7 linked regions of the Sus scrofa genome follow. The protein of the gene in region 3 purifies or fractionates together with the protein of the main gene of each other region. This does not show direct contact. Links are inferred from orthologs where the notes say so. Each region holds a gene or a part of one and is shown on either strand. Other genes may lie near its edges. The genes, in order: USP39, SRRM2, SF3B1, SNRPB2, EIF4A3, PRPF4 and ZC3H18.

What was found.
Region 1: the proteins of SF3B1 (region 3) and USP39 purify together in Homo sapiens (co-immunoprecipitation; 3 studies listed by BioGRID and IntAct, with this or other methods). This does not show direct contact. The link is inferred for Sus scrofa from reciprocal best matches to the Homo sapiens genes SF3B1 and USP39.
Region 2: the proteins of SF3B1 (region 3) and SRRM2 purify together in Homo sapiens (co-immunoprecipitation; 3 studies listed by BioGRID and IntAct, with this or other methods). This does not show direct contact. The link is inferred for Sus scrofa from reciprocal best matches to the Homo sapiens genes SF3B1 and SRRM2.
Region 4: the proteins of SF3B1 (region 3) and SNRPB2 purify together in Homo sapiens (co-immunoprecipitation; 6 studies listed by BioGRID and IntAct, with this or other methods). This does not show direct contact. The link is inferred for Sus scrofa from reciprocal best matches to the Homo sapiens genes SF3B1 and SNRPB2.
Region 5: the proteins of SF3B1 (region 3) and EIF4A3 purify together in Homo sapiens (co-immunoprecipitation; 3 studies listed by BioGRID and IntAct, with this or other methods). This does not show direct contact. The link is inferred for Sus scrofa from reciprocal best matches to the Homo sapiens genes SF3B1 and EIF4A3.
Region 6: the proteins of SF3B1 (region 3) and PRPF4 purify together in Homo sapiens (co-immunoprecipitation; 3 studies listed by BioGRID and IntAct, with this or other methods). This does not show direct contact. The link is inferred for Sus scrofa from reciprocal best matches to the Homo sapiens genes SF3B1 and PRPF4.
Region 7: the proteins of SF3B1 (region 3) and ZC3H18 purify together in Homo sapiens (affinity purification with mass spectrometry; 3 studies listed by BioGRID and IntAct, with this or other methods). This does not show direct contact. The link is inferred for Sus scrofa from reciprocal best matches to the Homo sapiens genes SF3B1 and ZC3H18.

What each region holds. Positions count from the first base shown.
Region 1 is NC_010445.4:59,146,181-59,150,165, forward strand, and holds part of USP39 (U4/U6.U5 tri-snRNP-associated protein 2), read right to left. Parts: intron 3,857-3,985; coding exon 3,787-3,856; intron 586-3,786; coding exon 491-585; intron 1-490.
Region 2 is NC_010445.4:39,281,946-39,285,930, forward strand, and holds part of SRRM2 (serine/arginine repetitive matrix protein 2), read left to right. Parts: coding exon 1-62; intron 63-746; coding exon 747-945; intron 946-2,107; coding exon 2,108-3,985. UniProt on the Homo sapiens protein: Required for pre-mRNA splicing as component of the spliceosome. As a component of the minor spliceosome, involved in the splicing of U12-type introns in pre-mRNAs.
Region 3 is NC_010457.5:101,285,656-101,289,640, forward strand, and holds part of SF3B1 (splicing factor 3B subunit 1), read right to left. Parts: intron 3,415-3,985; coding exon 3,217-3,414; intron 3,067-3,216; coding exon 2,965-3,066; intron 2,544-2,964; coding exon 2,364-2,543; intron 1,162-2,363; coding exon 1,075-1,161; intron 955-1,074; coding exon 684-954; intron 398-683; coding exon 252-397; intron 152-251; coding exon 5-151; intron 1-4. UniProt on the Homo sapiens protein: Component of the 17S U2 SnRNP complex of the spliceosome, a large ribonucleoprotein complex that removes introns from transcribed pre-mRNAs.
Region 4 is NC_010459.5:25,367,412-25,370,771, reverse strand, and holds part of SNRPB2 (uncharacterized protein LOC768116), read right to left. Parts: intron 996-3,360; coding exon 855-995; intron 1-854. UniProt on the Homo sapiens protein: Involved in pre-mRNA splicing as component of the spliceosome. Associated with sn-RNP U2, where it contributes to the binding of stem loop IV of U2 snRNA.
Region 5 is NC_010454.4:2,306,093-2,310,077, reverse strand, and holds part of EIF4A3 (eukaryotic initiation factor 4A-III), read right to left. Parts: intron 3,378-3,985; coding exon 3,236-3,377; intron 2,703-3,235; coding exon 2,564-2,702; intron 1,610-2,563; coding exon 1,494-1,609; intron 1-1,493. UniProt on the Homo sapiens protein: ATP-dependent RNA helicase. Involved in pre-mRNA splicing as component of the spliceosome. Core component of the splicing-dependent multiprotein exon junction complex (EJC) deposited at splice junctions on mRNAs.
Region 6 is NC_010443.5:253,912,701-253,916,685, forward strand, and holds part of PRPF4 (U4/U6 small nuclear ribonucleoprotein Prp4), read left to right. Parts: intron 1-808; coding exon 809-896; intron 897-1,315; coding exon 1,316-1,395; intron 1,396-1,568; coding exon 1,569-1,662; intron 1,663-2,502; coding exon 2,503-2,597; intron 2,598-3,985. UniProt on the Homo sapiens protein: Plays a role in pre-mRNA splicing as component of the U4/U6-U5 tri-snRNP complex that is involved in spliceosome assembly, and as component of the precatalytic spliceosome (spliceosome B complex).
Region 7 is NC_010448.4:1,078,352-1,082,927, reverse strand, and holds the start of ZC3H18 (zinc finger CCCH domain-containing protein 18), read left to right. Parts: upstream 1-1,399; 5' UTR 1,400-1,583; intron 1,584-4,576.

The sequences.
Region 1 (3,985 bases), on a different chromosome or scaffold from region 3:
TTCCTGTTGTGGTACAACAGAAACAAATCCAACTAGTATCCATGAGGACACAGGTTGGATGCCTGGCCTTGCTCAGTGGGTCGAGGATCCGGCATTAACTGCGCTGTGGCGTCACAGGTTCAGATCACGCGTTCCTGTGGCTGTGGTGTAGGCTGGCAGCTGCAGCTTATTCGACCCCTGGCCTGGGAACTTCCATATGCTGCAGGTGTGGCCCCAAAAAAGACAAAAAAAATCCCAGTTTCTCGGATTACCTACATAGTCTCTCACATGGCTAGTTCTTTCTCTCCTTCATATGTATTCAGGTTCTGACCAATCAGAGAACCTCCTGTGGATTTTCTAAGAGTATTCCAATTTCCTGGGAACAAAGATGGGGGTTATTAGACCTGATTCCTAATAGCAGCTTACTTTCTTTCAAAAAACGACTCTCTGCAATAGACCTGTGGTTAGCACTGAAGATTCAGCAAGTCTGTAATGCAAAACATCTATTTACCTTGAAAGTACTTGCCACACACCAGACAGGCATAGGCATTGATATGTGACAGAGAGATGGAACACAGTTTTTCAAAGTCAAAGTCCAGCACACTCCTAAGAGAACCAAAATAAAACAGAAACAATTAATAGGGATGGATGCCTAGGCAAGCACCGAGTGAAGCAGCATTGGCTCCGTGTTCCCACGTAGCATCCTTCAGAGAATGGCTCAACAACCACATACAAATCATGGGAAACATGAACTCTTCATTACCTAGACATTTAATACAGTACCTCCACCCACCAAGCCCCAAAGTAGTGTAAAGGTATCTCCATCAGAGTTTCCACTGTGGCACAGTGAGTTAAGAATCTGACTGCAAGAGTTCCCATTATGGTTCAGCGGGTTAAGAACCCAAGTAGGAATTCCCATCTTGGCTCAGTGGTTAAAACGAATCCGACTAGGAACCATGAGGTTGCAGGTTCGATCCCTGGCCTTGCTCAGTGGGTTAAGGATCCAGCATTGCCGTGAACTGTGGTGTAGGCCGCAGATGCAGCTCGGATCTGGCATTGCTGTGGCTGTGGTGTAGGTTGACGGCTACAGCTCCAATTAGACCCCTAGCCTGAGAACCTCCATATGCCATAGGTGCATCCCGAAAAAGACAAGAGACAAAAAAAAAAAAAAAAAAAAAAGAACCCAACTAGTATCCATGATGATTCCTGGCCTTTCTCATTGAGCTAAAGATCTGGCATTGCTACAAGTTATGGCATAGTTTGCAAACGTGGCTCAGATCTGGCACTGCTGTGGCATAAGCCAGCAGCTGCAGCTCTGATTCAACCCCTCACCTGGGAACATCCATATACCACAAGTGCAGCCCTAAAAAAAAAAAAAGAAAAGAAAAAAAGAATCCAACTGCAGCAGCTCGAGTAGCTGCTGCAGAGGTACAGGTTTAATCCCTGGCCGGGTGCAGTGGACTAAAAGGATCAAGCTTTGTCCCAACTGCAGTTTAGATTCAATCTCTGGCCCAGGAACTTCCCATATAGCCATTAATTTTTTTTTAAGTTTTTAATTTAAAAAAAGAGATATCTTTATCAATGACCCTCTTTCTTTTTAGTATTCACAACCAGATGAGAATCTTCTATTACCTTCTCTGGAAGGAAAGCTACAAGTAGGACTAAAGTAACACAGTGCCAACAGCATTTCAAATGAAAAGACTGGGCATAAAATGACATAAAAAGAGCAAATAAACCCATTCATAAAAGAAAAATTTATTAAGAAGGCCATAAAAATAAGTGAGAAGTCTGAAGAATTTTAGGGAAATACCCAAAAACAGATCTATCTCCTCAAGTCATGGTATATGAACACTAGACAAGTGACAAAAAAAAAATTATTAGAAAAAAGAATGTATATATGTATGTGTGACTGGATCACCTTGCTGTACAGTAGAAAATTGACAGAACACTGTAAACCAGCTATAATGGAAAAAATAAAAATTATTAGTAAAAAAAACAATTTACCTCTACTGAATCCACAGGTGGCAAAGGGATTCCTTCTCAAGTATTAACTCTAATTAATCAGTAATGGTCCTAGGACAGCTGCACTGTCCATTAAAGGTGACACGAGGCACACATGGCTACTGGAGTTTAAATGTAAATTAATTAAAATTAAATAAAATTTAAAATTCACGGGAGTTCCCCTGTGGCACAGCAGGTTAAGGATCTAGGGCTGTCACTGCAGGGGCTCGGGTGGCTGCTCTGGTGAAGGTTCAATTCCTGGCCTGGGAACGTCCACGTGCTGCATGTGAAGGGTGCAGCCAATAAAAAATTTTATAGAATTTTTAAATTCAATTACTCAAGCCAACATTTCAAGTGGTTAGTAGCCACAGGTGCCTTGTGCCTACCACAATGAACAGCCCTAAAGAGCCACTCCATTGGTGCAAAAAAAAAGTCTATTAGACAGAGTTACCCGAAAGCATGTATGAAAAATCATCCTAAGATGCATCTGGGATCAAAAAATATCAGGATGAGGCAACCACCTCTGCTTTAGGACATTTTTTTTTTCTCTGCTGAATCCCAAGCACCTAGCGTAATACCTAGCACAGAGCGGGTGTTCAATAAATATTTAAATTTGCTATTGTCATTGACACAGTGTATCCCTTTACTTCCTCATACAAATTCAAAATGAACTACAAGTTCTCTGTGCATGTGCCCACCCTGAAAAAACATGCCCTCTGACACTTTCAACTGAAGGGCAAGAGTTCCCACTATGATGCAATGGGATCAGCAGCTTCCTAAAAGCAATGAGACACAGGTTCGCTCCCTGGCCAGGCACAGTGGGTTATGGATCCAGTGTTACCACAGCTGTGGCTTAGGTGGCAACTTAGATCTGATCCCTGGCTGAGAGGCAGCCAATAATGAAAAAAAAAATTTTTTTTTTTTTTTTTTTTTTGTCTTTTCTAGGGCTGCTTCCCGCGGCATATGGAGGTTCCCAGGCTAGGGGTCGAATTGGAGCTGTAGCCACCGGCCTACGCTAGAGCCACAGCAACACAGGATCTGAGCCACATCTGCGACCTACACCACAGCTCACGGCAATGCCGGATCCTTAACCCACTGAGCAAGGCCAGGGATCGAACCTGCAACCTCATGGTTCCTAGTTGGATTTGTTAACCACTGCACCATGACGGGAACTCCATGGAAAAAAAATTTTTTAATAAATACATAAATAAACTGAAGGGCAAAGATTAAAAAACATGGCAAGAAGTAGAATTTTCTGGGCAGAGAGCCTTTTTTTTTGGCCACACTCATGGGATGTGGAAGTTCCTGGGCCAGGGACTGAACCCATGCCACCCCTGTAACCAGAGCCACAGCACTGACAACGCTGGATTCTTAACCTGCTGAGTGAAAATGGAACTCCCAGAAAGCTTTAAAAGAGATAAAGTTTTTTTTTTGTCTTTTTGCTATTTCTTGGGCCGCTCCTGCGGCATATGGAGGTTCCCAGGCTAGGGGTCCAATCAGAGCTGTAGCCACCGGCCTACACCAGAGCCACAGCAACTCGGGATCCGAGCCGCGTCTGCAACCTACACCACAGCTCACGGCAACGCCGGATCCTTAACCCACTGAGCAAGGGCAGGGACTGAACCCGCAACCTCATGGTTCCTAGTCGGATTCGTTAACCACTGCGCCACGACGGGAACTCCTCCTAAAAGAGATAAAGTTTTTGAACATATTGCTCAACATACAGCCCAAAGAACTTTCTGCAGATTCCACTGTTCTTTTGCTGCCCTCTGCATCCCTGTGCTAGTGCATCCCTGTGCTACAGACCTGTTAATGGTATCCAGGTATGGGCAGTGGCGGCTCCTCTGGTCCTCAGAATCCAAGCGGCCATTCTTTGCTGAAAGGAAAATCATCAACAGCTTTGAAAATGGGAAAGCCATACTCAGGACCAACTACCAATAGAAACAAACACAGTGATAGGGAAAACTAATCAGGACGAGCTCCTGTATGGGTAGCCTGACAATAC
Region 2 (3,985 bases), on a different chromosome or scaffold from region 3:
CGACGGGCCCATCGTTCAACTTCTGCTGACTCTGCTTCCTCTTCTGATACTTCTCGAAGTCGGTAAGGTGTGGTCCAAGAGGCGGGGAGGGAGAGGGACATGTGGGTTAATCAATTTAATATTTATTGAGCGCCCACGGTGTGCTAGGCGCTGCACAGACCATTCGGAAGACACGGTCCCTGCCCTCTAGGAGCTGACAGGCTAAAGCATCAGGATGGACAGACATAAACATTTCCCCTTCTCTTTTTTTTTTTTTGTTTTTGTTTTTGTTTTTTGTTCTTTTGTTCATTTTATTTTATTTTGTTATTTTTTTGTTTTGTTTTGTTCTGATGTATATGGACTGCCAGAATAGGGGGGGTGGTGGTTTGTTCGTGGTGTCTGGGGGAGGAAGGAATCCTTACCCTGGCTTCCTTAATCGGGGAAGGCTTCCTGAAGGAGGTGGGCTCAGAGGTGAGTTGTGAATGAAGTGGGTAGGGAATGGACTGGGTGGAGGGGTTTGGGGGGTCTGGGGGAGGTAAACATGAAGGGGTAGAGGGAGAACATCTTTGGGGATTGATGCTGAGAGGAGAAGGAACGAAGCGAACTGGACTTGAATTTCAGTATGAGTGATTTGAATCTTGTGAATAAGAGATTTCTTGGAAAAGGGTTGTAGTCAGGAAAGGTGGATGGGAGCTGGGGAGGGGGTTTTCCATTCTCCCCTGAACTGATTTCCTTCCTCTTTTCCCATCCTCAATTACCCCCCTCAGGTCTCGAAGTGCTGCAGCAAAAACCCATACAACTACCTTGACTGGCAGAAGCCCTTCCCCTACTTCTGGGCATCGAGGGGAGGGAGATGCGCCTTCCAGGGAACCAGGTACTGCCAACACCGGGCAGCCTAGTAGCTCGGAGCCTTCTGCAAAACAGCCTGGCAGTCCTTATGAGGACAAGGGTAAAGACAAGAAGGAGGTGAGTTCCTGAGTTAATGGATGTGTTCATTGGGTTTCAGGGCTATGGTTTTAGTTAGGATATAGGTATTTGAAGTGAAAGAGAACTGAGAACTCATTAAGAGAAGTGGAATGAGTTTTGTTTTCTGCATGTGTTTCAGTCACTCATCAAGTTCTCTTCCAGATCTGCAAAATCCATTAAATTGTGTCTTTCAGACTTGAGTGGTTATTACTAGGTTTTACATCACTATCCTGTTTGTACATGTACATTGATAGAACTTGAACAAAAGTTTTTTATTGCTTATTAACCTTGCTAGTATCTGTTCGTATGGTTTTTGTTTTTCCTTTTAGGTCCGCAGCATATGGCAGTTCCCAGGCCAGGGGTCATAACGGAGTTGCAGCTGCTGGCCTGTGCCACAGCCACAGCAGCTTGGGATCCAAGCTGCATCTGTGACCTACACCGTAGGTCAGGGCAGCACTGGATCCTTAACCCATTGAATGGGGCCAGGGATTGAACCCGTGTCCTCCTTAGTTGGGTTCATTACTGCTGAGCCGCAATGGGCACTTCTTTAGTGTCTGTTTTTTAAATGCTGGTTGTCGCTCATTCTGTGTTATCCAGAAGTTACTTTTCTAAACTACAAGTTGGGCTGCTTCAGAGACTTAATTTACTTTATATTGCTCTTGCCTTAGCTATATTTAAGGCTGTTATAACTAGGTTGCTTTTCCTGTTTTTCAGTACTTTATCCTAGTCTTTTCATGTTCACGTAAATCATGTTTTCAAACCTTTGTCTTTGTTCTTTTACTTAAATATAGTTATTTTTTTAGCAGTGAAGTGAGTCACTTTGGGAAAGTGTTTTATCTCACCATTTAAAAATACTCTTTGTGCACTCAGCATTTTATGATGGTTGTTGTGAAATGGTAGTAATGGTAGTTAGCTTTCTGTTCTTTGTCTAGGTTATAAAACACTTGAGGTCACAGACTATATCTTTGTTTCTCACTGTTTTTTAAAGTATTTGATTTCTTGTTATTGGATGATGTGACTGCTTGTGGTGAGGAAAAGGACAAGTTGGTATAATGGGGTTTGTAGAGGAAATGTTTCATTGGAAAGGGGGTTGGGATCTTACAGGTGATGGGAAGTTTTGGTGCTTACATATGCCTATCCTTACTCTCTTTTCTACTCTTAGAAATCTGCAGTTCGATCTAGCCCCTCTCCGGAAAGGAGCAGCACAGGGCCTGAACCACCTGCTCCTACTCCGCTCCTTGCTGAGCAACATGGCGGCTCCCCACAACCCCTTGCAACAACCCCCTTAAGTCAGGAGCCAGTGAACCCCCCATCTGAGGCTTCACCAACCCAGGGCCATTCACCACCTAAGTCTCCTGAGAAACCTCCCCATTCATCTTCAGAGAGCTGTCCACCATCCCCTCAACCTACTAAAGTTTCTCGACATGCCAGCTCTTCCCCTGAAAGTCCTAAACCTGTACCAGCTTCTGGGTCCCGCCGAGAGATTTCTTCTTCTCCTACACCTAAAAGTCGCTCACGTGGCCGAGCAAAGCGTGATAAGTCACATTCTCATACTCCTTCTCGTAGGGTGGGGAGGTCTCGTAGCCCTACTACCACTAAGAGGGGGCGATCTCGGTCACGAACCCCTACAAAGAGAGGTCATTCTCGGTCCCGGTCACCTCAGTGGCGTAGGTCCCGGTCTGCACAGAGGTGGGGACGGTCTAGAAGCCCCCAGCGCCGTGGCCGCTCTAGGTCCCCTCAGCGACCAGGCTGGTCCAGGAGCAGAAATGCACAGAGAAGAGGCAGGTCCAGATCAGCAAGACGAGGCAGGTCACACTCTAGATCCCCTGCCACTAGGGGCAGATCTCGTTCTAGAACACCAGCCCGAAGGGGCCGGTCTCGGTCTAGGACACCCACCAGGAGGAGGTCACGATCTAGAACACCCACCAGGCGCAGATCTCGTTCTAGAACACCAGCCCGAAGGGGCCGGTCTCGGTCTAGAACCCCTGCTAGGCGCAGATCTAGGACCCGATCACCAGTACGAAGGAGGTCTCGTAGTAGATCACCAGCCAGGAGAGGTGGCAGGTCACGCTCCAGAACCCCAGCCAGGCGTGGGCGGTCACGCTCCAGAACCCCAGCCAGGCGTGGGCGGTCACGCTCCAGAACCCCAGCTAGAAGAAGTGGTCGGTCTCGCTCTAGAACACCAGCCAGGAGAGGGAGATCTCGGTCTAGGACACCAACAAGAAGAAGGTCGCACAGTAGAAGTCTAGCAAGACGGGGAAGATCTCACTCTAGAACGCCACAAAGAAGAGGCAGGTCTGGCTCATCATCAGAGCGGAAGAACAAATCCAGAACATCTCAGAGAAGGAGCAGGTCCAACTCAAGCCCAGAAATGAAAAAATCACGAGTTTCTTCGAGGCGGAGCAGGTCTCTCTCTTCACCAAGGTCCAAAGCAAAATCTCACTTGTCTTTGAGACGAAGCCTTTCGGGGTCCTCTCCATGCCCTAAACAAAAGTCTCAGACACCACCAAGGCGCAGTCGCTCTGGATCATCCCAGCCTAAAGGTAGAACACCGCTAAGGCGAAGTCGCTCTGGTTCTTCTCTGCCTCCTCATCAGAAGTCTAAAACGCCATCAAGACAAAGTCGTTCCAGTTCATCTCCTCAACCTAAAGTGAAATCTGGAACACCACCGAGGCAGGGGTCCGTAACAAGTCCTCAGGCAAATGAACAATCTGCAACACCACAGAGACGGAGCCATTCTGAGTCATCACCTGACCCTGAGGTGAAGTCCAGGACCCCTTTGAGACATAGCTGCTCTGAGTCTTCTCCTAGAGTGAAATCTAGCTCACCTCCAAGACGGAGCCGATCTGGGTCATCATCTCCACAACCCAAAGTGAAGGCGGTCATGTCACCAGTCCAGAGCCGTTCTGGCTTCTCTTCTCCAAGTCCTAGTAGAGTGACATCTAAAACTCCTCCAAGGCAAAGCAGATCAGAGTCTCCATGCTCCAAGGTAGAGTCTAGATTGTTGCAAAGAAACAGCCGTTCTAGGTCCCCATCTCCA
Region 3 (3,985 bases):
TTACCTTCAGCACAATTTTCTTCATTTCTTCATCAGGAGATTGGAATTCTCGAATAAGAATTAACATCACTTCTCTGGTATAGTAGTTGGCATATTCTGCATCCATGAGGGGAATAAGATACCCAATAGCCTTTAAGAATGCAGCCAGACCCTATTTTAAAATTTTGAAAATACAAATTTGTTACATTAGATTTAAGTCACTTCAATAAGTAGAAATAAAAAGAAAAATGAAATCAAATTGATGGATCTACCTTTCCTCTGTGTTGGCGTATACCTTTCCATAGAGGCTTTAACACAGAATCAAAAGACTCGATACCATAAGGAGTTGCTGCTTCAGCCAAGGCAGCAATGGCCAAAGCACTAATGGTCCGTACTTTCTGCTGCTCATCCACAAGACCTATAAAAAACCAAACACAGGTTTCCACTGAGTAACTTTACCTAGTTTCTATAATATCAAGATTCTAGCGATACACATAACAACTTAAGTCAAACTGAAGCTGTTCATATTAGACAAAGTTAGACCAAAGCCAGTATGAACCACAACCTATGAGCAGCTACTATTAAAAATCCCATCATAAACTATATGGTGTTTAGGCAGTTCACTTCCATTTCTCGCTCCAAAATCTGTAGCCTAAATTTCAAGAAATCTGTCTTATAAAAAACAAAGTTATAACACAACTTACCATGTTCAATGATTTCAACTAAACTTCTGAGATGAGGCAAGATGGCACAGCCCATAAGAATAGCTATCTGCTGTACAATCTTAATACCAGTGTGCCTAGCTTGCCAGGACTTCTTGCTTTTGCACACAGCTTTTAAGAAGGGCAATAAGGATGGAATGCCCAGCGCAGAGGCTACAACAGCAAAAGCTCTAGCTGTTGTGTTACGGACATACTCATCCATGTTATCTATATCAGGCCTCATGGTAGAGATCATAGTAGCCAGACCAGCAGCCTAAAAGTTTAAGAAAAAGCACAGTTATGAGTTGATAACATTACCCCCCAAACAGTTCCTTCTATAATCAAATAATCCCATCAACTAATATAAAACTTTCTTCTCCAGAAATATAAATACCTTTGCCAAATTAGAAATAATCTCTCGGCCTTCCACTCTAGCATAGTAATCTTCATCAATCAACAATGGTTCAATGACCACTAGGATCTGAAAAAGAGAAGCTACACTGTCACACCAATTACTGATGCAATACTCATGGGACAGAGTACAGGAAATTTATACTGGCCAAGAAGTTGTTAATCAAGGGATAAATTAGGATTTTAATCACATAATTTCAACCCCACATAAAGATGAATATTTGAGAGAACTGTTAACCATATAGACTATTTTTTTTTTTTTTTTGTCTTTTTTGCTATTTCTTGGGCTGATCTCGCGGCATATGGACGTTCCCTGGCTAGGGGTTGAATCGGAGCTGTAGCCACCGGCCTACGGCCTACGGCCTATGCCAGAGCAACGCGGGATCCGAGCCGCATCTGCAACCTACACCACAGCTCATGGCAACGCCAGATCATTAACCCACTGAGCAAGGGCAGGGACCGAACCCGCAACCTCATGGTTCCTAGTCGGATTCGTTAACCACTGCGCCACGACGGGAACTCCAACCATACAGACTATTAAACACACACATATACACACACACCTGTCTGAACTTACAATTCTAAGTCATAATTACTACCAGCAAAAAATGGTTCTTAGCACTAAGTGGCACAGTAGAGAAACACATATTTTCTCATCCTAATATCAAGAAAAGCAGATTTTAAAATATGAGTAATATGAACCCAACACATAAGATGGCAAAAAGTTACATCTATTTATGTATATATTTGTACATGTGTGAGGCATGCTTGTGCAAAAAGAAAAAGATCTGGAGGGTATGTAAATTTAACACTGGTTACTGAATAATTTTAAAGAGGCTGAAATTTCCCCTTTTAGTATAAAAGTACGGAGTTCCTGTCATGGCCCACTGGTTAATGAATCCAACTAGGAACCATGAGGTTGCAGGTTCGATCCCTGGCCTTGCTCAGTGGGTTAAGGACCTGGCATTGCTGTGAGCTGTGGTGTAGGTTGCAGACATGGCTGGGATCTTGCCTTGCTGTGGTTCTGGCATAGGCCAGTGGCTATAGCTCCGATTAGACCCCCAGCCTGGGAACCTCAATGTGCCACGGGAGCGGCCCTAGAAAAGGCAAAAAAATAAAAATAAAAAAATAAAGGTATACCATCAGCTATTATTGTTTTAGAGTTTTAAATTTTCATAAATACATCTAATAAGCTGGTTAAAAAAAAAAAGTCCACAAATTCCTTTTATGTTAAAAACACCAAACCATTAGAAACACAAATTGAAAACAAACCTTGTGCACATATGGGCGAACTAAATCATCAAGTTTGTATAATATTCTATCGATAACTTTCACAAGCAAATGACGTTCTTGATCCTCAAGTGTAGGAGACATCAGCAGAGGAAGAATCTGATTAAACAAAGGACCAGCTCCAAACTCACGAGCTTTATCAGTAATCTGACGCAATGCAGCCTGGAGAAAAAAAAAAATTATAAAGGCATGTTTCTTTATAATAAACATTTTGCATAAGCAAATTAGTTATTCTATGGTTTTCTCTAACTAGTGGAACGAAGTTTATTCCCATCAAAATTATTCTGAAGTTTGAACTCCTATAATCAAAGCTCAAATGTTTTCAGTTAATTCAAAAAGGATAACAGAGTAAGAGTGTAACATAAAACTCAACTTCCCCTAAAGAATCAATCATCTTCAAGCCACATATAATACTAATACAATTCACAATGCAATTCAACTATAATAAAAAAAAATTTTTTTAAATTCTGATACAATTCCCTCAAATAATTCCAGTAATTACCTTAGACTCTTCAGGCTCTGAGGATAAAATGGAGTATCTCTAAGACTACATGACGTGATGATTTAATAAACTGGTACTTACCTTTCTCATGGGAGGTGTTCCATTCTTAATTTTTAAAAGCAACTTCATTATTTTTCTCTCTTTTTGCTCTTCTGGACTAAGGGTTGATTCATCAACATCAACCTAATAGGAAAAAGTAAAAAATTTAAAAGGTAGGTGGAGATTAAGATTTTTAACAACTAAATAAAAAGTAACACTTTTTAAATCAACTATAATTTAAAACAGTAAACCTTTTTTAAAAATTACTATTTTATCTCTGCTATTATCACTTACCAAGAGTTTATCAAAGTACTGAATATCATCAGGTTTTAAAAACGGAAGATTTCCAGATGGCTGGTCATTAACACTTTTCATAGTTCTATCTTCAGTTTGCATGTGGAAACCAGTCATACCACCCAAAGGTGTTGGAGTTGCTGTCAGCTTTCGAGCTGGAGTTCGAATAGGAACATAACCAGCTGGAGGAGGAAGCACCTAATAGAATTAAAAGACGGTTTAGGATTTCCTTAACTTTATAAAGAACAACATAACTGAATAATATTTGCACTTAGGAAGCTTTTTGCTTAGAGACAAGAATTAATTAACATTGACTTGACTTTTCTGTCTTCATTTTAAAATATGACAAATATTAATATTTCTTATTGAATTTAAATTAACTTTATCAGAAGTGTGGGGGAATGAAGAGATACACAGAGTAGGCTTATGAAATTCTCATCACTTTCAAACAATCTATGTAAACGTGTTACTGAGCCAATGTCATAAATGAAAATAAGCTCACAGTGCACATATATAATGTATAAATGTTCATATTTTAATAAAAATTAGAAATCATTCATATAAATCTCTGCATCATAAAAGCAAATCGCTACTTAAGTTGCCCTACAAAAATGAGCTGACTGCATAAACACTAAAACCAAAATATTTAGCAAAGCCCTGTAAAATACACACCGTTTGACTAAACCCCAAAAAATTCACTACAGATTCACAGAGGATTTCCCCCTCCTACTGATAAAGAAATCAATAAATGCAATTAAGACAGACACCC
Region 4 (3,360 bases), on a different chromosome or scaffold from region 3:
CGTCAGCAGCTACAGCTCTGATTAGACCCATGGCCTGGGAACCTCTGTAGGCCGCAGGAAGCGGCCCTAGAAAAGGCAAAAAGACAAAAAAAACCCCAAAAACCCCAGCAGATATTTACATTTATAATTACTGCATAAAAGTATGATTAACAGATTTTTTTATTCTACCTTACTTTTGCTGCAAATTTACATTTCAAAAACTCACTCAAACATTTATGTATAGTAGAATATTTTTGAAAGGTCTAGCCCTAACTTTAGACTATATCATAAAATTCAACCTCCAGGCTTTAAAATTATGGAGAAATATATAAGAGAAAAGCCAAGAACTAGTCTTTCTCACTTTTTTTTTTAAATACACAAAAAAGCAAAAAATCATACTTAGTAAAACTGATTTGTAATCACTTTCAATCTCAAAGTAACTACTTTTTGGATGATAATTTCACCTTTATCTAGTATTTTGAATTAGATTTTGAATTCCTGAACTGTTCAAAGAAAGCAGCTTTGAGTGGAATACTCATGATTACAAGGTAACATCTATAGCATTATTTATACACAGAACTTGAAAAATAAGCCAATAGATATTAACATATTTTGGAGAATGATGGAACCAAATGTCAGGCAAATTCAAATAAAACTGTTTAATATATATCTGCCATAAGTAAAGTTTTACATTATAATGTGTTGCTTAAACACAAATCTACAAATGTTAGAACTCAACCATTCTAGCTTCTTAAAAATCCACCTCAAACACACAGAGATGCACAAGCATGCCCCAAAGATCACCCCTCAAGTGGAAGACAAAGAACTATCAAATTTTCTGACACCAAAAAAATATGAACATTTGCCCATCTTACCTGACCAGGTTTCTTGTTCACGGTGGTTGCAGTCTGCTCCACAGTTTTGGCTTTTTTCTTTTCTTTTTTCTTTTCTTTGTCAGCAAAAGTACCACGCATTTTAGATATTATATCAGAATCTGTTTTTGCATACTGGATTCGCTGTTTTAATTATTTGAAAACAGGTTACTTTTCACTCCGCTGAAGCCTGTTTACACTTGTCATTAATTTTGCAAATTTCATTAAGCAAATATGAGCTAATTTTAAACACATCCTTAAGGAAATGTCAAATACACTGAGCTCCAAATGAAAATAAATTGTGGCCCATGATTTACAAGTGAGACAAAGTTAGATTCAGCTATGTGTATTAGAAGAAAAAACCATATATTTTCAGATGAGAAAACGGGACTTTGAAATATCCATACCACTGCTCTCCTCCACTTAAAAAAACAGAGAAAACTGCACTGGAAAGCTGTCCATCCCTTAGCAAGGATGCTCAACAGAAGGTCAAAATATGCATGGGATTGTTACTTCCGAAATTAAAGTACCAAAGATTGAGAAAGACCTGCCTTTGAATCTGAGCTATTATTTTTAAATGAAATGACTAATGGGGGCATCAACTTAAATTTTAAAAGCTTTGAAAGGAAACAAAAGGATGACAACATAGCTAGTGCAACTACAACACTGACCTGATTGACAGGCCATAGCCAGGAGGCATAGCACACACCAGGGAGCAGGCATGGAAACACCCTGGTCTAGGACTACATTTCATCAAATTTAACATGCATTCCAATTACCCAGAGAACTTGCAGATCCTGATGCAGTGGTTCCGCTGAGGCCTGAGAGTCTGTACTTAAAACAAGCACAGAGGGCATCTGGGAGAGGGGGCACACCATGAGCAGTATGGCCCTGCCCTAAGGCACTGTCACATAGCTAAGTCTCATACCAATTACCTGTCCCAAAACTTTTGCTACAAGTTATGCTGTCATCCAGGTGTGCCTATTTGCAAACTACAACTTCCAATTCAAGGGAATATTTCTTCCCTGGCACCCAAAGAGCCGAAACTACCTCTGTGATCATACCAAAACACCACAGCCCTATCAATTCTCTCTAAAATTGTCCCGTATGGCAAGAAATTGATTTCAGTCTGAAGGGAACAAGTGACATTTTAAAGTAATGCAGGCTTTAAAGCAAGAAATGTGTCACAACCAAGCAGTTCTTTCCCCACCCCACCCCTTTTTAAATGGCCTCACCCATGGCAATGGAAGTTTCTGGACCAGAGATTGAGTCTGAGCCACAACTGCAGCAAAGCCCCATCCTTTATAATCTACTGCACCGGGCCAGGGATCGAACCCATGCCTCCATAGCAATCCAAGCTGCTGCAGTTGGGTTCTTAACCCACTAGGCCACAGCAGGAACTCCCTTTCTTTTACATTAGCTAGAGATGAATGTACAGGAGAATGAGAGGGCAGCAGGCCTCCCAGGACCGCTCAGTCCCAAAGGCTTCCTATGAAAGCTCTAGCCACTAGACCACGGACTTAGCTGTGATCAACTCTTGATAATCCTGCATGTCGTCATCTAATGGAAAGGGACAGGTCTGGACTAACTCTGACTTGGTCCCAAGGATTCCTTCCCAGCTACCCTGGGTCTTTAACCTCCTTGTTGACCTAAACAGATCTTGGGTGGTCTTGTATTTGTCCCTGTGGCCTGAGAATACCTCTGCCCTGAATCCTCGCTTTCAGCAGGCTGGTCTGGAGCAGCAGTTCTCAATCAGGGGAGAATCCGCCCCCAGGAGACAGCTGGCAGTGCTGAAAGGGGGCACAGTGGGTTGTCATGCTAAGAGGGCAGAGGCCAGGGGTGCTCTAGACACCTTACAACCAACAAGGCAGCCCCAGCAACTATTCAGTTCAAATACCCCAAGTATCAGATGCTGAAAAGCCCTGGTCTAGACTAAATCCTGGTATAGGATAAAAGTCCATTCACAACTTAGAGAAGGCGCAAGATTTACATTTATTCCAAAGGTTTCATTACAGAAGCCCTTAGGAAGATGGTTCTGTCTTACTGAGCTACTTTGGAAATTAAATATCCAAATATCCTTGAATCACAGAGCATAATTTTGTTCTGAGTTCCAAGTTATATAAATTTTTGTTCATTTCTAATCTGGTATGTTGAGTTAAAGAGCAACTGAAACCACCTAAGTAAAGACAGCTCAAGGAACATTCTTTTCCTTTTCCAGGATGCTGGCGACTTGGCAGCAACTACTACTTTCCTAAAGGCAGAGAATGGACCTCCTAAAATACCTTCAATATGAGATCAGTCTAATGGGCTTTTTCCATTGATTTTAAAAATTTAGTTGGCAAGGTGAAGCCAGGGCCAAACACAGTGAACAATTTTCAGCTTTCCTGGATCTGAGTCAGTCATGCAACCTTGTCATCCCAACTTAGCAAAACAGACCTAAAAACCTCAAGAGGAAAAAACCGTTCCTTCATTCTAATGTAGTTTTAGATTTTAACTAAAACCCAGTCCT
Region 5 (3,985 bases), on a different chromosome or scaffold from region 3:
GATTTTTACACAGAATAGGGAGGGCCAACTGCACTGGGCCACTTCCTATAAAGGACGTGAGTGTCCACAGGCTCCTGGGACCAATCCCACTTGGACTGCCTCCTTCAACACATCGGAAGGGTCAAGATGAAGTAGACATTTGCAGTTTAGAAACTAAGACTTTTTTATCGGCCGCACTTGAGGCTGGCAAAAGCTTCCAGGCCTGGGATCAAACCCAAGCCACATCAGTGGCAACGCCAGATCCTGACCTGCTGGGCCGCCAGGGAACTGCTACTCTGCTACGAGCGAAAGCCCAAACGAAATACAGAAAGACGTTCTTCAGGCAGAAGGAAGTGCAGCCTGATGGAAGCTCCCAGGAGCGAGAAGAATAACGAGTGTGGGCCTCGCGTCCCTAAATGGAAAAGCTCATTACATGAAGCGAAAGAAGTGGAGAAGGGGGGTCACTGAAGTCGGGGTTTCAAGTTCTCTGTGCAGTCAGGGGAGACAGCGGCTGACGACTCTCCAGGGCAACCACTAACTAAAATAAACATTTTCCAAAATGAGAAGTGGGGAGAGGAATAATAACAAAATCCAAACTAAAGAAAGAGAATCACAGGAAGAAATGACAAGTAAAATGCACTTACAAGGCGGTCCATTTAAACCCAAATACGTCAGTATTTACGTTAAATGAAACTACACTAAATGTTCCAGTTAAAAGACAGCAATCATCATCACATGAAAAGAAAAGGAAAAACAAAACCCAACTATATGCTACTTAATCCACCTAAAGCTTAAGCCTGCAAACCGGATGTGAGGCGGGGGCGGTGGTTGCTAAGAAGTCACCGAGCACGCGGGGTCCGTCCTACAGCAGGATTGGGAACAGCACTAGCAGCGGAGGGCAGACACTTGGCGGTGACAGCTAAGTCCTCTGGAGGGAGATCCAGTCATGCTAAACTCGGACACAGAGTCTCGGCACAGAAAGCAAGAATGGACAGAACCCCCAAGAGGAAGACAGCAGCCTCAACCCTGATGAAACAGAGGTAAGGCGGGGGGCGGGGGGGGGATGCAGCTCTGACAAACAGAGCGGGCAGCTGAAAGCCAGAAGACAGGCAAGCGCACTGCGCCAGCACCGCACAGCACCCGTCTGGTCCGAGCACAGAGAAGGTCTGTAAGAGGACCCCCATGCGGGGACAGAAAGCAAGTCTGAATTCCCACGGAGGGCTGAAATCACACACAGCGAGTTCTCTGACTACAGAGGAACTAAGCTACAACCAATACAAAAAGATTAACAGAAAATCCCGATTTATATGTGGAAACAGCAAAGTAAGTTTCTCAGTAAGGCAGCCAACCTACATAGCGAAGGCCAGTTCTCACCTCAACCTAATCCATCACACCCCCAGCCCCCCCAAGCTGACCTCCCGGAGCTCAGCTGCGGGGGAGAACTCGGAACCACCCGTGAACGCTGGCCGGCTGCACCTGCACCGGGACCAGGGCAGAGGGCACAGCTGACCCACCTGGCACCCGAGCGGAACTCCTTCATGATGGACTCGCGCTCCTTCTGGGGCATGTCCCCGTGCATGGATGACACGGTGAAGTTGGCTTCCCTCATCTTCTCCGTCAGCCAGTCAACCTACAGACGGAACCAGCAGATGCTGCCATGAGCTCACAAACCAGAGACTGTACTCAGGATGTCCTGTCAGTTCCTGCAGAGCCAATGCGAATACTCAGAAAGCGATCTGAAAACGCAGGCTAATCTCCACTGGAATTTTGCCCAGCACATATCAGGGCAAAAAATTCTCTAGAAAAAAAACAAGGGCAGGGGAGGCGGGTGGAGCTCCCGCCGTGGCCTAACAGGATCGGCAGCGTCATGGGAACACTGGGATACAGGTTCAATCCCCGGCCTGGCACAGTGGGTTAGGGATCCTGCACTGCCACAGCTGTGGCTTGGGTCACGACTGTGGCTCAGATAGTCCCTGGCTTGGGAGTTCCACTGGTGGCTCAGCTGGTTAAGAACCTGACCAGTATCCATGACCATGTGGGTTTGATCCCTGGCCTCGCACTGCCACAAGCTGTGGCATAGTCACAGATGTTGCTGGGATCCCTCACTGCTGTGGCTGTGGTGTAGCCCATAGCTGCAGTTCCAATTAGACCCCTAGGCTGGGGACTTCTACATGCTGCAGATGTGGCCCTTAAAAAAAAAAAAAAAAAGGACAATACATCGCTGTTCTCATTTGAAATGTAAATTCACACTTTCTTTGGAATGTGGTTCAAAGAGACCTGCCAGGGGTTCTCAGCTCTGCCTGCACGTCAGCATCACTTGGGAGCACAGAACCAGGCCCACATCCCACCTGAACCAATGGCCCTGAGCCTTCAGCTGTGGGGCCGGACCAACATCCTGGACACGCTCACGTGTCTACCCACTGTCCACGAAGACTTAGAGCTAAAGAGCAGACACCGTGGCCGCCAGAGACCATGTGCTGAAAGCCTAACGCAGGTACTGCTGGCCCCTGACACAGAGTCTGACCTAGGTTCTGTGAGAAGCCATCTTCAGTTTTTGCCTCAGGGACATTAAAGGGGCGCGTACCTTCCTCTTGGTGTTACAGAAGATGACAGCCTGAGTGATGGTGAGTGTGTCATAGAGGTCACACAGGGTGTCAAACTTCCACTCCTCTCTCTCCACGGCCACAAAGAACTGCTTGATGCCTTCCAGAGTCAGTTCATCACTGCAGGACAAAGACAAGCCTGTCAACTCATCCTTCCAAAAGGACCTGAGAGCACATGCAGGCCAGGCACTGTCCAAGCACCAGCCCGACCCTGGCAGCCCAGGGGCCTGGTCATTAAACCCCTGCCCTCCCGCCAGCCACATCCTCCCAGGAGCCAGCACCTCTGCTGTCCCTTTAACAGCCTGGATCAGTCTGAACCTTTAATAACCACCAAACCTTGTATGTGGTTTCAAATGTTCAGCTGTTCAATAATATGTACATAACCAATAATATCATAACCAATGATAAATAATCTTGTTGATATGTAAACACTATCAGCAAATTTTAAAATCTGGAATTACTGAATCAAAAGAGAATGTATAAAAGCTGGCCTTTCCCCCAAACTATCTACAATTTTATTTCCATTGCTCTAGTTATAGAAATATCCTCAAACCTGGCTTTTCAAAAGAGAAAAGGATAAATAGTTTTCACGTTTGAAACCCCAAATACAACTATGCTGCCTCAGTCCCATCTGCAAAGCAGGGCGTCCTCACCGTTTCACCAAGATGCGGATGGGGTCGGTCATGAACTTGTTGGTCATCTCTAAGATCTCGTGGGGCAGCGTGGCGCTGATGAGCACCACCTGCGTGGCCGGGGGTAAGTACCTGTACACGTCGTAGATCTGCTCTTTGAACCCTGGGACAAAGGGTGAGACACACGGGGAAGTTTTAGGCTGCACAAATCCAACGCCAACTCTTCACACGTAATCTAACGCATTTGATGTCGTCGTGAGGTGCAGACGTCACGAGGAACCTTCCGGCAGAGCTGGACCAAATTCTCGCATCCCCTCTCATCTCCCGGGTGGGATCACGGCCCCCCCACCCCCGAGAGTCCTGGATGCCAACAGTTAAAAGCAACAGAAACCCGAGCCCCGAGAGGCCAACAAACGTGGACCCCTGCAGGTGATGACGACTCAGTTCCAGCTGCTGCTGCCCTGAAAGGATCTGCATCAACTCTGGCCAGATTGCCACATTTTAAAACATCTGGATTTTCACCAAAAAATACTCCCATAGACATCAAACCATTACGCGGTCCACCTGGAAATGTTACATGTCAATTTCACTTTAAAAACCTCGGGGGGGGGGGGCACGATCAAAATGAAGCTCACCTCCTCCCTCAGATATGTCAAAAAATACACGTGGAAAAATTCTCACACAGTATCTACTCAACACTAGACGAAGACCTCAGACTTCTGAAAGGGCAAGAAAACCTCCCCATAATCGGGGAGGAGTGAAGGGAACTGA
Region 6 (3,985 bases), on a different chromosome or scaffold from region 3:
TCCTCATGGAGACTATGTTGGCTTCTTAACCTCCTGAGCCACAGTGGGATCTCCCAGGCCTAGGCTGTTTACTCCTTCTATGATTCCCCTTAGCAGCCTGGGCTTACCACTATCATAACACTTAATGTAATGTACTATGGTTCCCCAGTACTTTCTGTATATCCTGTATCCTGTCCACCCTCACCTCCACCCCCGCCATGCTACTTGAAATCAAGAACTGTTTCCTAGTCTTTTTTTTTTTTCTTGGCTTTTTAGGGCTGCACCCACGACATATGGAAGTTCCCAGGCTAGGGGTCAAACCAGAGCTGCAGCTGCTGGCCTGCACCACAGCCACAGCAACTCAGATTCCACGCTGCATCTGCGACCTACACCACAGCTCACGGCAACGCCAGATCCTTAATCCACTGAGCAAGGCCAGGGATCAAACCCGTGTTCTCATGGATACTAGTCGGATTCATTACTGCTGAGCCATGATGGGAACTTCCGCTCAGTCATTTTTTATACTCAGCACCTGAGTCAGTATCCAGCACATTGTGGCGTTGAGTGATTCACAGCCCAAGTGGTAGCAGTGGTGGGGCTGGCTGACAACTAAGTTGAACAGGGTGATTGCTTTTAGTTCAATTTAGGGACTCTGCAAATCAAGACCTCTGAGTGGAAGAAATCACACAGGAAGTTCAGGCATCACCACGTGACTCCTAAAGAAGGTGGCCTGGGTTTGAATGGTGAGAGAGTAGGGCTGACTTGTCCTCTTCTTAGAGAGACTTTTCACAATCTCACCTCTATTTAAATCTGATCTTTTTGGTAACAGGTTAAGAAACATCCTCTCAGTGGTCGGTACTGATGCCTTAAAAAAGACCAAAAAAGATGATGAGAAATCCAAGAAGTCCAAAGAAGAGGTAAATATGTCTTCGACTTCATAGTATAAACATGCAGTGAACAAGGGGGTAGTGCTCTCGTCTTCTGCTTTCGGTGGTTTACTTTGCTAGATTAGGGGACGGGGAGTCGAAGACTCTACTGCTCAGAAAGAGTTGTTGGCAGTAGTTTGTGGTTCCTGTGTAAGTCTAAATGGAGGTAAGTCAGTTTCCCATTCAAGACAGAACCATAGCATTCTTGGTGTCGCTTTTAATAAGGAACCAGAAACCATCCAATGAGAGTTCATAGAAAGAAACACAGGAGAAGGCACATGTACCTGATTTCGTCCTATTCCTGAACCAATTCACCTTTTTTCTGGGCAATTATAATAGGAAATTGACAGCAATAAAAGGGGTAGGCATTGCTTGAGACTTGACATTTCTACTCTTAATTTAACTTTCAGTATCAGCAAACCTGGTACCATGAAGGACCAAACAGCCTGAAGGTTGCTAGACTGTGGATTGCTAATTATTCACTGCCCAGGTAAGGAGAGCCTTGAGAGGGAGGAAAGAGCATACTTTTTCTTACTTCCTCTCAAAGACTGAGAATCTGCTTTATAATTACTGTGGTTGTTCATTAAAGTTGAGTGGTAGAGAGACTTGTGTGGACCCTTGTTTCCAACCCCTTTGCTCAGGGTGATAATGCTTCTGTCACAGGGCAATGAAACGCTTGGAAGAGGCCCGTCTTCATAAAGAGATTCCTGAGACAACTAGAACCTCCCAGATGCAAGAGCTGCACAAGTCTCTCCGGGTGAGATGCTCTCAGCGATTGTCCAATGTCTTGAAGATTCTTAAATATTTATTAGATGTTCTACTTTGGCCTGTCTCTAGCAAGTGAAGCCAGCTATGCTTATCCTTCTCTGCTTACACTGTTGCTGTTTGCAAGAAGCTATCAGTTAAGGTGGCAGGAAGCTAGTGTCCTTTGTACTCTGCAGAGTCCTGTGCTTCTACTCTTCAGTTCTCCGTTTTAATACATTAGACTGTACTTTAGATCTTGCCATGGCTTTCCTGTTTTTTGGGGGGGTTTGGTTTTTGGGGTGGTTTTTTTTTTTTTGTCATTTTAGGGCTGCACCTGTGGCACATGGAGGTTCCCAGGCTAGAGGTCTAATTGGAGCTACAGCTGCTGGCCTATGCCACAGCCACGGCAATGCCAGATTCGAGCCGAGCCTGCAAGTCTGCACCACAGCTCATGGCAAGTCGGATCCCTAACCCACTGAGCAAGGCCAGGGATTGAACCTGCAACCTCATGGTTCCTGGTCGGATTCGTTTCCACTGTACCACGATGGGAACTTCGGCTTTCCTGTTTATATTTAGCTGACAGAAGCTAGTGATACTAAGACTGTAGAAGACAGCTGGATGGAGTTTCCATTCATTCATTGATACAAATGTCTCCTACCAAAAAAGGGTGGAGTAATCTACGAGTGGGTTTGAATTGGAAAGGTGTTGGGAGGGTTTTTTTGTTGGGGGTGGAGGCACAATGGGGAGGGTTGGGGTGTGTGTATGTGTATGTGTGTGATTTTTTTTTTACTGGTGGAAAATCCAAGAAGGTCTGAGATTAGCCTGATAATGATCCTTTGTTTGTCTTTTTAAGTCTTTGAATAATTTCTGCAGTCAAATTGGGGATGATCGGCCTATTTCCTACTGTCACTTTAGTCCCAATTCCAAAATGCTGGCCACAGCTTGTTGGTAAGTCCCATTTTACAGTGCCATTTTTTTTCTAAGTGGGGTTCGGGGAAAAAAATCAGCATTGGTCTTACAAAGCCATTTCTATACCATTTGCCTCTGCTTCTCATGGCCACACCACGCTCGAGAGGTCAGTGCTCATTCATTGTATTTTACAGCAGAGCCTTCAATTAGCAGTTCTTAGTGTTCCCAAGGGACCCCAGAGATCCCTGACATGTCTGTCGTGTCTTGGTACTTGCATCATTTTGGAGCAGGTATATAAGTGAGCTTATAGACTGGCTACTCTGCCCATCTCGATACAGCTTTTCTTTTTTAGTTGTGTGACTTCATCTCTGTAATTCAGTTTCCTTATTGGTAAAGGTGAGATCATGTTTGTAAAGCATTTTGCCGTGATAGTGCCTAGTAGGTGGTAAGGACTCAGTAAACACGGATTATTATTTTTATCTTCATTTTGTTTTCCATTTGCCACTACATGTGCAGAAAACTCTTAGAGAGTGATAACTTTGTTGTTTTGTTTTATTTAGTTATTTAGTTAGTTCTTCTTGTGGGAGGGGAAACGTCTTTTATATTATACACACAGGAGCTCCTTGACTAGGCAGAAATTGAGACTGTGGTTCAGGAGAAAGCCGAGGACCTACACAATTCCCTCCACCCCTCCACGCCTCAGTTACCTTCATTATAAAGTAGAAATGATCATTGTCATAGGTCTGTCATAAGGATCATTTGAGGTGATAGATATGAAAATAATGTATTGGAAATTTTCCATAATAAAGCCTTTTTTTTTTTTTTTTTTTGCTTTTTAGGGCTAAACCTATGGCATATGGAGGTTGCCAGGCTAGGGGTCCAGTCAGAGCTACAGTTGCCAACACCACAGCCACAGCAACGCAGGATCTGAGCTGCATCTGTGACCTACACCACAGCTCAGGGCAACACCGGATCCTTAACCCACTGAGCGAGGCCAGGTGTCGAACCCACAACCTCATCGTTCCTAGTCAGATTTATTTCTGCTGTGCCACGACAGGAACTCAAAAGTAAAGCTTTTTTAAAAAACTTTAAGTATTTTAAAATTTTAAGAAGAGCAAAATGCTATTCACATTTCAGGAGAGTGTGTCATTGTTAATATTGTTGTTGGAGAGTTTAATTCATCTTACCTTCTCCCAGAACTTGATCCAAGGGTTAAGGAGAAGAGCAACCTCTGCTGTAATAGTTATAGTCCAGTAGGGGCCTCTGGCTGCATGAGATCTGGATATAGCCTTCTTCTCCAACCCTTCAAATGATAAGCCTCTTCTTTTCCATTTTCTTTTCTTTCTGCCACTATAATGTTTATGGGGCGGCGCTGGGGGGTGGGGGGTGTGACGAGATTGTCCTTTAGTCATATTACCAAGGTACCT
Region 7 (4,576 bases), on a different chromosome or scaffold from region 3:
CCAGACTAAAGGATTTAAATTTCCACTCCTGGGAGGGGCTGAAATTTCAATTAGATTAGTCATGAAGTCTGGTTAGGCTTAGCATAAGTGACTCCATTTTGGGGCTGTTGTTTTCATTTTTTTAATTTAAAAAAATTTTTTTTATTTTTTATTTTTTTGTCTTTTGTCTTTTTACGGCTACTCCCAAGGCATATGGAAATTCCCAGGCTAGGGGTCTAATCAGAGCTGTTTCTCTTTAAACAACATTGGGAATAGTTAAAAAGTTTAAGCTTTGACATTTAAACTCAGTATCTCAAAAATGATTGTTTTGTGTTGGATCAGTTATATTTGATAAAGCAATAGCTATTTAGTTACACAGAAATAGTTTCAAATGTTTCAGCTTTGACTTTTTTTTTTTTTTTAGGGCCACACCCTCAGGATGGAGGTTCCCAGGCTAGGGATCTAATCCGAGCTACAGCTGCCGCCTACGACACAGCCACAGCAAGCCAGATCCGAGCCGCGTCTGTGACCTGCACCACAGCTCACGGCAACACCGGATCGTAAACCCACTGAGCGAAGCCGGGGATCAAACCCCCAACCTCATGGTTCCTAGTCAGATTCATTTCCGCTGTGCCACCACGGGAACTCCTAGGCTTTGACATTTTAACTCGCTATCTCGAAAATGATCATTTTGTTTTGAACTGATTCTATCTAACGGAAGGGGGGATTTAATCCCCCCAAAACAGTTTAAAAAGTTTAATCTTCGTTATTTAAACTCATTTCCTGGAGTTCCCGTCGTGGTTCAGCAGAAAGGAATCTGACTAGCATTCCTGAGGAAGCAGGTTCGATCCCTGGCCTCGCTCAGTGGGTTAAGGATCTGGCACTGCAGTGAACTGTGCTACAGGTCGCAGACACGGCTCTGCCCCCTCGTTCCTGTGGCTGTGGTGTAGCCCGGCAGCTACAGTTCCGATTTGACCCCTAGACTGGGAACTTCCATAAGCCGCGGGTGCGCCCTGAAAAGATTAAAAATAAAATAAACTCATTTCCCTGAAAGGACTAACTTTGGATTGGGTGCGCAGCCCCCCTGCGCGGAAGCTCCCCACCCGGAAGGGGGCAGGTAAGTTCTTCGCCCCACCTCCCCGGGACCCATCTCCGCGCGCAGCTCGCACAGCGGGGCGGGAACCCGCCGGCGCTCACGCGTCACGTGACCCGGAGGCCCGGGAAGCTCTCCCAGCCGCACGACGGCCGGCGCGCGCGTCCTGAGACCCGCCCGGGAGGCGGGGCCTCGGCCGCGCCTGCGTCCTGTCGGGTTCAGGCGGGCGCGCGCCGCGGGGGCGGGGCTGCGAGGAGGCAGCTGCGCGGAGGCCGGAAGGAAGCGGGCGGAGGGCGGGGCAAGAGAGGTAAGCCCGCCCGGCCCGCAGGACAACCGTCGCGGCCTGATGACGTCGCACAATGGCCGGCCCCCGCGGGTAGTGGAGCCCGTTTGTTCCGCCCGCGTCGCGCCTCAAGCCGGAGCCTGTGAGGAGCGGAAGGGTCGAGGGACGACTTCCCCACGCCGCCCCGACCTCCGCGGAGCCGTGGCCCCCCCTCCCTGCTCTCGTAAGGTAAGTGGTGGCGCCACCACGGAGGCGGGGCGGGTAGAAGGAGGAGGCCGAGGCGGCCGGGCGGGGAGCGTGGCGGCGGCGCGGAGCGGAGGCCGGGGAGCCCCGCCGCCTCCGCCTCCGGGGAGCGCTCCAGGCTGCCCGCGGCCGAAGCGTGGTTCTCGAGCCCCAGGAAGAGGACGTTGACTCAGGCACGATCCTGCGCTCCTTTCGCTGCGAGCCGGCCGGGGACCCTGGAACCCTTTAGCCCGAGCGCACGGCGGCTGCCTCCGCGCCCGCCGTGGAGTTGATCTCCCGAAGCTGTCATTTCTCTTCCGGGACATCCGCGTGGCAGTGTTTGCCGCCTACAAAGACCGGGGGAGGGGGCGGCGGAAGGAGGCACGCAGGCTCACCCTCCGGACTGGGGATGGGCTCTTCAGGAGCTTTGAACTCTCTCGAGCCTCTTGGAACTTGCCCCCTCGGCTTCCCGGTGGCACAGGTTGGACCTATGCGCTGCGCCCCAAGATGCGCGCCACTCTTTGGAGTAAACTTCCTTTCCTTTGGTAAGGAGCCCAAAGGATGCCGGGTCATTGCTGGGGGGACGTCAGACTTTAAGACTTCCGGCTTTGCTCCTGCGAAAACTTCAAGTTTTCCTGAATTCTTACGACAGCTGAGTTGGCCAGGTAGAATGGTCGATTATCTTAAGTGAGCTGTTCAGCTCCATCTGTTAGAGTAGATCAGCCTTCGGATCTCTTTGGGGAGAATGGAAGGAGAGGGCTTTTGGGGGCACAGCAGTGGCTCTCTTGGTTTCTCATCTTCACGTTGCCTTTGGAGTGGTCCTTTCCCAGAGCGGAGATTGGGATTCTCAGGGTGAGTCTGGACCTGGGCTGATTCCCATTTCCCCAACAGGAAGTCTTTTCCTAGTGATTTTACAGTCTGAACACATGTGTGGAGCCCAGCCAGCTCTGAAACCATTCAGATGTGTCCCAGAGGTTAAAACCCCTCAGCCTCTCCAATTTGAGGTGGGAGATGGTGAAACATTTTATGAAAACTTTGTGGAATCGTTCCCGAGAGCAGAAGAGTTTTTGGGTTTGTTTTTTTTTTCCTTTTTCACTGATCATCTCGAGGTGAGTGAGTGCATCCTCCCTGAGGGGTCATTTGGGGTCAGGCTTGGTCAGGTTGGGGACAGTGTCTGTCACCAACCCACACATCCTTCCTTTGGATGTTTTAAGTCTATGAAGTTATGATTCTGCATTTTCTTTTTGTCTTTTTTTTTTTTTTGCTATTTCTTGGGCCGCTCCCGCGGCATATGGAGGTTCCCAGGCTAGGGGTCCAATCGGAGCTGTAGCCACTGGTCTACGCCAGAGCCACAGCAACTCGGGATCCGAGCCGCGTCTGCAACCTACACCACAGCTCACGGCAACGCTGGATCGTTAACCCGCTTAGCAAGGGCAGGGATCGAACCCGCAACCTCATGGTTCCTAGTCGGATTCGTTAACCACTGCGCCACGACGGGAACTCCTGATTCTGCATTTTCTTTTTTTTTTTTTTTTTTTTTTTTTCTTTTTTTGGCTTTTTAGGGCTGCACCCGCGGCATATGGAGATTCCCAGGCTAGGGGTCCAATCAGAGCTACAGCTGCCCTGCTGGCCTACGCCACCGCCACAGCAATGCCAGATCCGAGACGCGTCTGTGACCTATACCACAGCTCATGGCAACGCCAGATCCTTAACTCAGTGAGCGAGGCCAGGCATCAAACCCGCAACCTCATGGTTCTCAGTCAGATTTGTTTCCGCTGTACCAGGACGGGAACTCCTGAATCTGCATTTTAACTAGGCGTACCAGACTTGAGCATTCAGGTAGGGCTGCTCTATTAAAAGTTGTTAGCCTGGATGGTTATGTTTATATTCATTGGCGCTCCTTTGCCAAACCTCTTTCGAAGTCCTGTTTTTGTAGTAAATATATAAGCCTTGTTTGGGATATGTATCAGTCTCATTCCGTGGTCACACCCCACGTGTGACCAGAAATGCTCTTACCTTGCTTGGGAACTCACCCCACTGACCAGACTAGGCTCTGCACTGGTTTCTTTGAGAGGAGGAAGACATGCTGCCCTGGAGAGTGCCAGGCTCTGAACTGGTTTCTCAAAGTGATGCCACTTGAGAGGAGGAAGATGTGCTGCCATGGAGAGTGCCAGGGAGGTGCTGCAGGTTCGGAAGGTCACTCGGGAAGGAAAGTTCCCACGTGCCGTTCACTTGGAGTCCAGGTGTAGCCTTCCAGAGCGACTGCTGGGAAGCAGGACAGCACCCGCGGGGTCTGAGTTCCAGCGCGCTCTTCAAAAAAGGAGACGCTTGGTTCCCATGTCTTCCTGGTGCCCAGGAAGTAGTTGATCCAGTGCGAGACTTGTCACTGACTCCACAGGCAGCTGTCAGTGACCGTCACTAAATCTAACATGCTCTGGGGACTCTCTGGCCCTTGTTCTTCTGTTCTCCAGGCGAGTTCCTGTCTGTGGATCAACGCACTAAAGCCTTCTAAACTCTGCCAGTAATGCTGGGTTATGGGGCGATTGTGGGAGCAGAAGAAACTGAAAATTGTGAGCCTAGGAGTCGGTGAGGACGCGACCGCAGGTCCTTCCATTTCCGCGTGTGCACTTAATAGACCAAGGGTTTTCCTGGCAGCTGACATAGAGCACGTGTTCAGATATTTGCCAGATTAAATTAATCTCAGAACAGGACACTCATGCCCAGAGAGTCTGTTAACTTCCCCAGAGCAGGGCTGGGAACACCCTTCTGAGCCCCAGTGACCTCCCCCATCCGTGCAGCAAGGTGTGATTGAGGTTGCCTCTGATAAGTAGATGGGTTCTTTGGCATGTTTTCCTCTGCAAGCTGATACCTGTGTGTCGCCTCAGATTGTAAAATCCGGAAGGTTCCATAGGGAGAGAATGATGGGAGTCTTCCTCGGGAGATTGTCAAGGCATCCTAAGGGCGCCTGTGTGTCCCGGTGTGCCTAGGACAGCCCTGCG